Cricetulus griseus: one gene and its partner. The protein of the gene in region 1 interacts with the protein of each later gene in a pairwise test. Links are inferred from orthologs where the notes say so. Each region holds a gene or a part of one and is shown on either strand. Other genes may lie near its edges.

Region 1 (4,286 bases):
GCTGAGAAGCCAGTGGCACCTATTGTTGCCCTCTGTCCTGTTGGCCATCAGGTCATGCTGCTCTTCCCCAGTAGTTAACCCTATACTCTGTGACTGCCCTTTGCCCTCAGTAGGCCCCTTCCTAAGATGGGGTCGCTATCTTGGGCTGTAGTCTTGTCATTCCATTATGTGCCTTTACTTGCCTGTCACCGGGGTCTTCACTCTAGCAGATTCATTCACTCATTCTCTCTCTCTCTCTCTCTCTCTCTCTCTCTCTCTCTCTCTGTGTGTGTGTGTGTGTGAGTGTGTGTGTGACCTATTTGTACTTGGAAGCTGATGAAAAAGCTCCAGGACATGCCTGTCCCACAGCAGGTTTCATCAGCAGGGGATAGGCAGAGACCCAGTTACTGGATCTTTTCCTATAATTCCAATGTGTTTTAAAGATCAGGGCAGAGAGGCCAAGGCCTTCCTGTTCAGCAGACCATCTGTTACAAGAACATGCCCTTGCATGTGTTTTTGGGCGTTGGGTCTGTAGCTTCTTCAAAGGTCTTCAGTTCCTGTTATGATTGAGTCAGACACTACTGACTCCTACTCTTAGGTGAGGGTGCTGGGTACCTTATCTGTCCATAGACCAGAACACCTCAAACCTGAGGGAGATCTCTATCTTTCACCTCCTTGGCACTTTCTTAGGTATTTTTTTTTAGTTAATTTATTTTTAAAGTGTGGTTTTGCTTGAGGCAAGTTTGAAGCTGGCCTCAAACTCATGGTCCTTCAGCTTCAACCTCTGGAATGCTGAGATTATGGCTGAATGCCACCATATCTGGCTGATATTTTTTGAACTTTTAAGACACTTGTCATGTAGGTGAGGGCAGCCTTGAACTCATTCTATTTTAGCTTCTCCAGCTCTAGTGCTTGAGATTATAGTCTCTATCCCACATATACTGCTCTCCTTAGCAATCACCACTGACCCTAGGGACACCTCTCCAGACTGGTTTTTATTCTGCTTCACCTCGGATGGCTGCTACTCCTCTCAAGACTCCCACCTTCTTATCATTGACCTAGGGAAGGGGAAACTCCTCCTGTCTGACCATGACCATGCTAGATGGCAGTCCTGGAGTAGACAGGGGCTTTGTTTTTTCATGATTTTATTTTGGTTGCTTTAACAGTGACTCTCATGCTAGGACCCTTCTAGTACTACACAGCTAACTGTAGTTCCTGGGTTATCTCCTGGCCCCTGCACAACCAGATTCCACTCACTCCACAGGTGGAACTACAGTGTATCCTGTTTGCTGTGTTGTGATTCAGTCCTTCCTCGTATTCTAGATTCCTCTCATGACTCTATCTTTCTGGCCTCTCTAGAATGTGCCTGTTTTATTCTGCCTTGTGCCACCACCCACCTCAGACCACATCAACACCTTTTACTTGTGGTGGTGCATTCCCTGGCATTACTCCTGCCACCTTCAGACAGATGGTGATTTTGCTACACTGTGGTGGCTACTGTGTCACTTCCATAGTTTCTGTAGCTTTCATCTGAAGCCCAGGTGTTTCACTGTGCCACCCAGATCTTCTGAATGAAACTTTCTTCCTTCCCTCTTTCTGCCAACACAGTCTGTGGCTGGGGAATCTTCAACTTCCTGTCCTTCACTCAGTTTGCTTCTTACCACCACCTGCCCCTGGCTTTTATTTATTTTGGAGACAGGATCTTACTATGTAGTCAGGCTAACATGGACATCACTACACAGACCAGGCTCGTCTAGAACTCACAGAGTTCCCTCTGCCTCTCAAGTGCTATGATTAAAGGTGTGCTCCTTTCTTCCAAACAGCTGTGTCTTATTCCATGACCACCCCCCCCCCAGAACATCTGGCATCTGGTATTTTCCTGGTAACTGGCCATTAATCCTGCTGTGTTCACCACTGAGCTCCATGAAGGAGAAACGTGGCTGCTGTGTCCCAGATGGTGCCAGGAATATATATGCTTGAGAAAAAAAATTAAAGAATGTTTTCTGAATGTTAAAAACGTTAAACTTCAGCACGTGACTCAGACTAGATTCCCATGTAGGTCTGGGAGAACAAACAAAATGGCTAAACAATAGAAATCAAGGCTACTGAGTGTCTATTAAGAGCTATTTCTCTCCCAGATCCACTCAAAGAATATCCCTCAAAGCTACCTCTCATATACAACATGCACTGAAGGCCAGCTATTTCCTGTGCACCCAGGGGCTCTCACAGCAATGAAAAAGGGGTGAGGGTACAAATAAGGCTAGTCTTACCTTCATGTTGTCAGGAGGGTCTCCTTGGCCTGTGGTCGCACAAACAAATACCACCAGGGGCTCCCTAATGAGATTCGCCTCAAGGACAAGACACGGGTATGCGTAAGGGACTGACAGCCCTGGTCAGTCCCCTCCCTGCATCGCTCCCAACCCACCCCATTCAGATAGGGTAACAAGAGTAAAGTGTTTGAAGACTTGTTCCCAGTGGCTACCGGGCCTTCTCTTTTTCAGGCCTCAGCCTCGTGCCAAGCCCCCTTTCCCCTAAATCTGCCTGGGCCGTAGGGCAGCACTCAAACGCCCTCCGTTCGAGGACGCGAGGTTCGGGGGAGGGTCTCCGCCGTATCACCCGAGCCTCACCACCGCATAAGAGTCGAGCGCCTGCACGCGGCAACCTAGCCGCCGGCGCCGGGCCTCGCGACCCAGCCTCTCCGCTTCATCCTGGGCTGTGCCAGTCTGGCTGCCGAAAAGCACAAGCAGCTGCGGAACCTGCATCACCGCACCACGCCGGCCAGAACAGTACACACCACTAACTTCCCTTTTCCTCTGTCAACAGGAAATGACGTGTTTAGGCTGCGCCAGTGCGAGGTGGGAGGGCGCGCGGGTGGGCGGGGCTGGCTCTGGGCCGCGGGCGTTCGCTAGCATCCAGTTCCGGGTCCGGGTTCGAGGTCTGGAGAGCGGCGGTGCGCTGGGGCCGGGGTCCAGGCCGGCCTGGACCGCTTGCTGCCTCGCGTGTGCAGCGGCGGCAGCAGGCGGTAGCCAGGCCCTCGGACGAAGCGGGCACGGCCCGGTGCGAGGCGCCGTCGGCCGGATTCCGGCCGGTATTAAACAGGCGCGATGTTATTCTCGCTGCGGGAGCTGGTGCAGTGGCTGGGCTTCGCCACCTTTGAGATCTTCGTGCACCTGCTGGCCCTGTTGGTGTTCTCCGTACTTTTGGCACTGCGAGTGGACGGCTTGGCCCCGGGCCTTTCCTGGTGGAATGTGTTTGTGCCGTTTTTCGCCGCCGACGGGCTCAGCACCTACTTCACCACCATCGTGTCTGTTCGCCTCTTCCAAGACGGGGAGAAGCGACTAGCTGTGCTGCGCCTCTTCTGGGTTCTCACAGTGCTTAGCCTCAAGTTTGTCTTTGAGATGCTGCTGTGCCAGAAGCTAGTGGAGCAGACTCGAGAGCTCTGGTTCGGCCTGATCACGTCTCCGGTCTTCATTCTCCTGCAGCTGCTCATGATCCGGGCTTGTCGCGTCAACTAGCCTCGTGCAGGGGCTGGGAATGGAGCACTGCGCAGCTGGAGTGCTGGGTCATCCAGTCCAGACCCTACTTGGCGCCACACTGGAGAAGCTTTGGTCAGAAATCCGTGTCTGCTTGTGCCCCGTTTACTGTCCAGTTTTCTCTATATCTAAGATTGTTTCCTCAGCAAAACTTAAAAGTGAAGCCTCGATTATTAAAAGTTATTTCCTGTTACTCATGCTCTGAGTTGCCAGACAATACTGAACTTTTATGACATTTGGAAACTGCATATACGTAAACTATCCTGATAGGCTCTGAATATTTCCCATGGTGATATACCCCTTTATGAATCAGCTTGTTCACTCAGAGCTTACCCCTCCATCGGTCCAGGCCAGACTTCTTTATACAATTGATAATCTAACAGAGCTTGCGTCACTTTTCTCTGTCCTGGGGAAGAATAGCCTTTTTTCATTCCATCCCACATAGAGACAGCAGACTGTTGAAAACAAAGCATGAATAGGACCCAGTGTGTTTATCTGCAATCTGAGAAAAAACTCTGGTCTCAAGACATTGCTTGGTTTCCTGGCCCAACAGATTACAGTTTCACGGAGTTTCCCACCACCTTGTGGCAGGCATCATTAATACACTGTGACAGACAGACCTCCCTAAGGGACCAAAGACAGGAAGAGGCGCTCACATGCTCATGGAAATGGATACTTACACATAAGAGCTTGTGAACAGCTTGAGTTTATTGACCTAAGGTCTTGATTTTATGTCAATCATGTGCCAAATGAGATCATTTGTTGAGATGGAAT
Region 2 (3,500 bases), on another chromosome or scaffold:
TACACAAGGCAATGGCAAAGCTACACCCGCTGTGCAACTCTGCCATAGGCTGAAGAGAGCAATGGTCCATGGAAGACTCTGTGCGTGTGTGTGCTCATGTGTGTTCATGGTGAGGGTGGCAGCACGTGAAATGAAGAAAAGTGCTGTATTTATTTCAACATGTGAATAATCATGGGAATAAAGTCAAAGGAAGTAAAATATTTTCCATAAAATTCTAGAGGAATAAAAGTAAATAATTATAAATATAAAATAAGTATACATATATTTGAACTTTTTGGCAAATGTGAAAGCAGCTATACCTATAAATTCTGAGAGCAAGTGACTCTGCTTCTGACTCCTGAGTGCTACAACTAAAGGTGTTTGCCACAGCCCAGTTTAATTTTCTTATAGATATAGCAGATCAAAGGTGCAAACACTGAGTTTAAGACAGTGAGCATTCAATGACTTGCACTGAATTTCATTCAGTGAACATTCAAGTGCCTAGACAGAGGCCTTATCTCAGCTGACAAATTCTTTTCTGGTTTATGTCTACAAGAATCTACTATTTCATGTAAGGGGAAGACAAGAAAATCTGTAGAGGGGAAGAAAGATACTTTTTAAAAAATGCAAAATGCTACTAATATGGAATGTCCTAATAAAAGACACCAAAGTCAGGCACTGCTACATGCTGGGCCTTAAACTCACTCACACCTACAAACCTAAAAGGCCACTGTCAGGGAGCTGGAGACATGGCTCAGTGTTAAAAGTACTTTCTGCTCTTGCAGAGGATATGGGATTGGTTTCTAGTACCCACTCAGCTGCTGATAACTACCTGCAACTAGACTCCAGTTCCTAGGGATCCAACACCCTCTTCTGGGCTCCGAAGGCACCAGACATGCATATAGAGCACAAACAGACAGACACTCATACACATAAAATTAAACAAAACAAAACAAAACAAAAACTTTAAGGCCATTTCTCACTATAGCTGTTTACACTTAATTCTAGGTCTGAGAGGAACAGTCAAGTGACTACACAGCCAACTCACCATGCTGTCATCCTCCATGTCATTGGCTGAGAGGGTCCAGAGCTTGGCAGCAGCAGGATCCACAACAGGCTTCACTGAGTCCAACCATAAAAGAAAAAGAACTCTTTAAGCAGTCGGAAGCAAACCACAAGCAAGTCCCAGCAAGTGTGGAGACTAGAAGAGAATGACTGGACAGACTGAGAGGGTAGGCTCAACACTCAGCTCCACTATGAACAAAAGGCATAGCTCCACACAGTAAAATAGTCTGCATGCATCACATGTTTGCTTTGTGCTAGGCCTCCACCAGCGCTTCCATCATCTCACCTAGCCCTGCTAAGAACCCTGTGAGGTGCCTGCCATTCTAGTTTTATAGCTGTGGGTATATGAGGCTACAACCTCCATTCCTTGCCGCCTTTTCCTTGCTACCTGAGTTTACACCTCTGTAACATGGGTTATAGCACTCCCTCTGCCTACTGCAGGTATTTTAAGAATTAAATGAGAGAAGTAACAACAACTTCAAAAAAAACAACAAAGATTTAGCCTCACTTAAGCCTGTAATGTAAGAAAACAGACTCCAATGCTGTTGGTGGCCAGGTAAGTCAGTGACAGAACATTTTCCATCTGGGTCAGGACACCAGAAAGAAATCTATGAGCCTCAGGGCTGGGGATTTAGAGGGGCAAATCCTCAGTAAGGCCTTTTAGGTAAGCTCACAACCAGGATCATCACTGCCACAGCTGATGCTCAGAATGTCCACAAGGTCAACTGCTGATCTAAGCTGTCCCAACCCTCCAGGAACTGTGAAAACCAAGGTCCAAGTATTTTCTGAGGCCAGGGTTGAGAACATGGGCTTCTAATTACTGCCACTCAGAGGGCAGAGAAGTGAGGACCAGAAATTGAAGTCAAAGTACTTCAAGATTGAGGCTAGCCAGGTGGTAGTGGTGGCACACACCTTTAATCCCAGCACCTGAGAGGCAGAGGAAGGAGGATCTCTGTGAGTTCGAGGCCAGACTGGTCTATAGAATTAGTTCCAGGACAGCCAGGACTAAACAGAGAAACCCTGTCTTGAGAAATCAGAAGAAAAAGACTGAGGCTAGACAGCAAAAGAATGCAGTATAGATATGCCAGCAAACATCCGTTGAATCTATGCATTCCTCACAGCCAAGAAACAATTGGGACAAGAGAAAACTTTAATAGGAAGGATGAGAGATGAGTAACGTGTGCGTGCACACAAACATGCACACAATTTTTTGAGCAGAAGAAACACAGGTTTTGTTTTTAAGCATTTCAACAGGACGTATTCTGGAGGATGTCCATCAAAATCAATCCAACAAAGCTGTAATTACAGCTTTGACAGAAACATTAAAATAGCATCTGCAGCGGATTGTAGCAGCAAGGTACAATGATGCTTATGAAAGTGTCATGACAAAAACCACTTTTCTGTATCAATAAGTTGTGTATGAAAATGTTAATTTAAAAAGGTATGCTAAAATGGCCATAGCACATATAAAAAATTAAACACTAATTACATTTTTAAAATTCTGAAATATACAAAACATGCACAAATCAAACTAGCAAGCAATCATTAGAAATAAGTTTTGTGACTTTATAAGCATAGAGCCTGGCAGGGGTGGCACATGCCTTTAATCCTAGCACTCGGGAGGCAGAGGTGGGCAGATCTCTTTGAGTGACTTCAAGCCCAGCCTGGTCTACAAAGTAAGTTCCTGGGCAGCCAGGGCTACACAGAGAAACCCTATCTCAAAAAAAGGAGAGGAGAGAGAGTGGGAGAGAGAGAGGGAAAGAGGGAAGGCGGGAAGGGGAGAGGGAGAAGATAGACAGACAGACAGACAGACCCACCAACCCACCCCTACCCTCTGGAAACTGAACAAGGGAACCTGTGCACCATTACCACCATTGAAAGGTCTTCTGAGGATAAACCCATCCTCTCAGGGCCTGAAGAGACTTCATCAACTAAACAAGTGACTCAGGCATCCAAAACCTCAGTGCACTAGGAAATATCTACATATTGTTTCAGGTTTGGATACTAATATGTAAGCACTCTGCAATTTGCAAATGACAGAAATTAAGGGACTAGTTTAAGAATATTTAGATCATGGTTCAATTTCTTTTTAAAAAAAAAATACTTTATTTAACTTTATTTTATGTGCATTGGTGTAAGGATACTAGATTCCCTGGAACTGGAGTTACAGACAGTTGTGAGCTGCCATGTGGTTGCTGGGAATAGAACCCAGGTCCTCTGGAAGAGCAGCCAGTGCTCTTAACCAATGAGCTATCTCTCCAGCCCCCATGGTTCAATTTCTAACATGCTCCTCAGGCCCACCCACATAGAATGTCCCTAGGCTAGTCTTACCTGAAGACTTCTTGTTGCTGAAAATCTTAAGTTGGCTGGAAGAGCCCACTTCAAAGTTAGGCTTCTTGCCGGTGATACGAACTGAGAGCAGGCTGTCACTGTGGTAGCCCAGGTGTTCCTGGACA

Evidence for each region.
Region 2: the proteins of Ndor1 (region 1) and Ciapin1 interact in binary tests that used the Homo sapiens proteins (3 or more experiments, as listed by UniProt). The two-hybrid records come from large-scale screens. The link is inferred for Cricetulus griseus from reciprocal best matches to the Homo sapiens genes NDOR1 and CIAPIN1.

Annotation. Positions count from the first base shown.
Region 1 is NC_048599.1:136,606,687-136,610,972, forward strand, and holds the start of Ndor1 (NADPH-dependent diflavin oxidoreductase 1), read right to left. Parts: upstream 2,801-4,286; 5' UTR 2,742-2,800; coding exon 2,607-2,741; intron 2,328-2,606; coding exon 2,250-2,327; intron 1-2,249. Other genes in the region: Tmem203 (transmembrane protein 203), read left to right, coding at 3,084-3,494. UniProt on the Homo sapiens protein: NADPH-dependent reductase which is a central component of the cytosolic iron-sulfur (Fe-S) protein assembly (CIA) machinery.
Region 2 is NC_048596.1:171,047,156-171,050,655, forward strand, and holds part of Ciapin1 (anamorsin), read right to left. Parts: coding exon 3,376-3,500; intron 1,102-3,375; coding exon 1,028-1,101; intron 1-1,027. UniProt on the Homo sapiens protein: Component of the cytosolic iron-sulfur (Fe-S) protein assembly (CIA) machinery required for the maturation of extramitochondrial Fe-S proteins.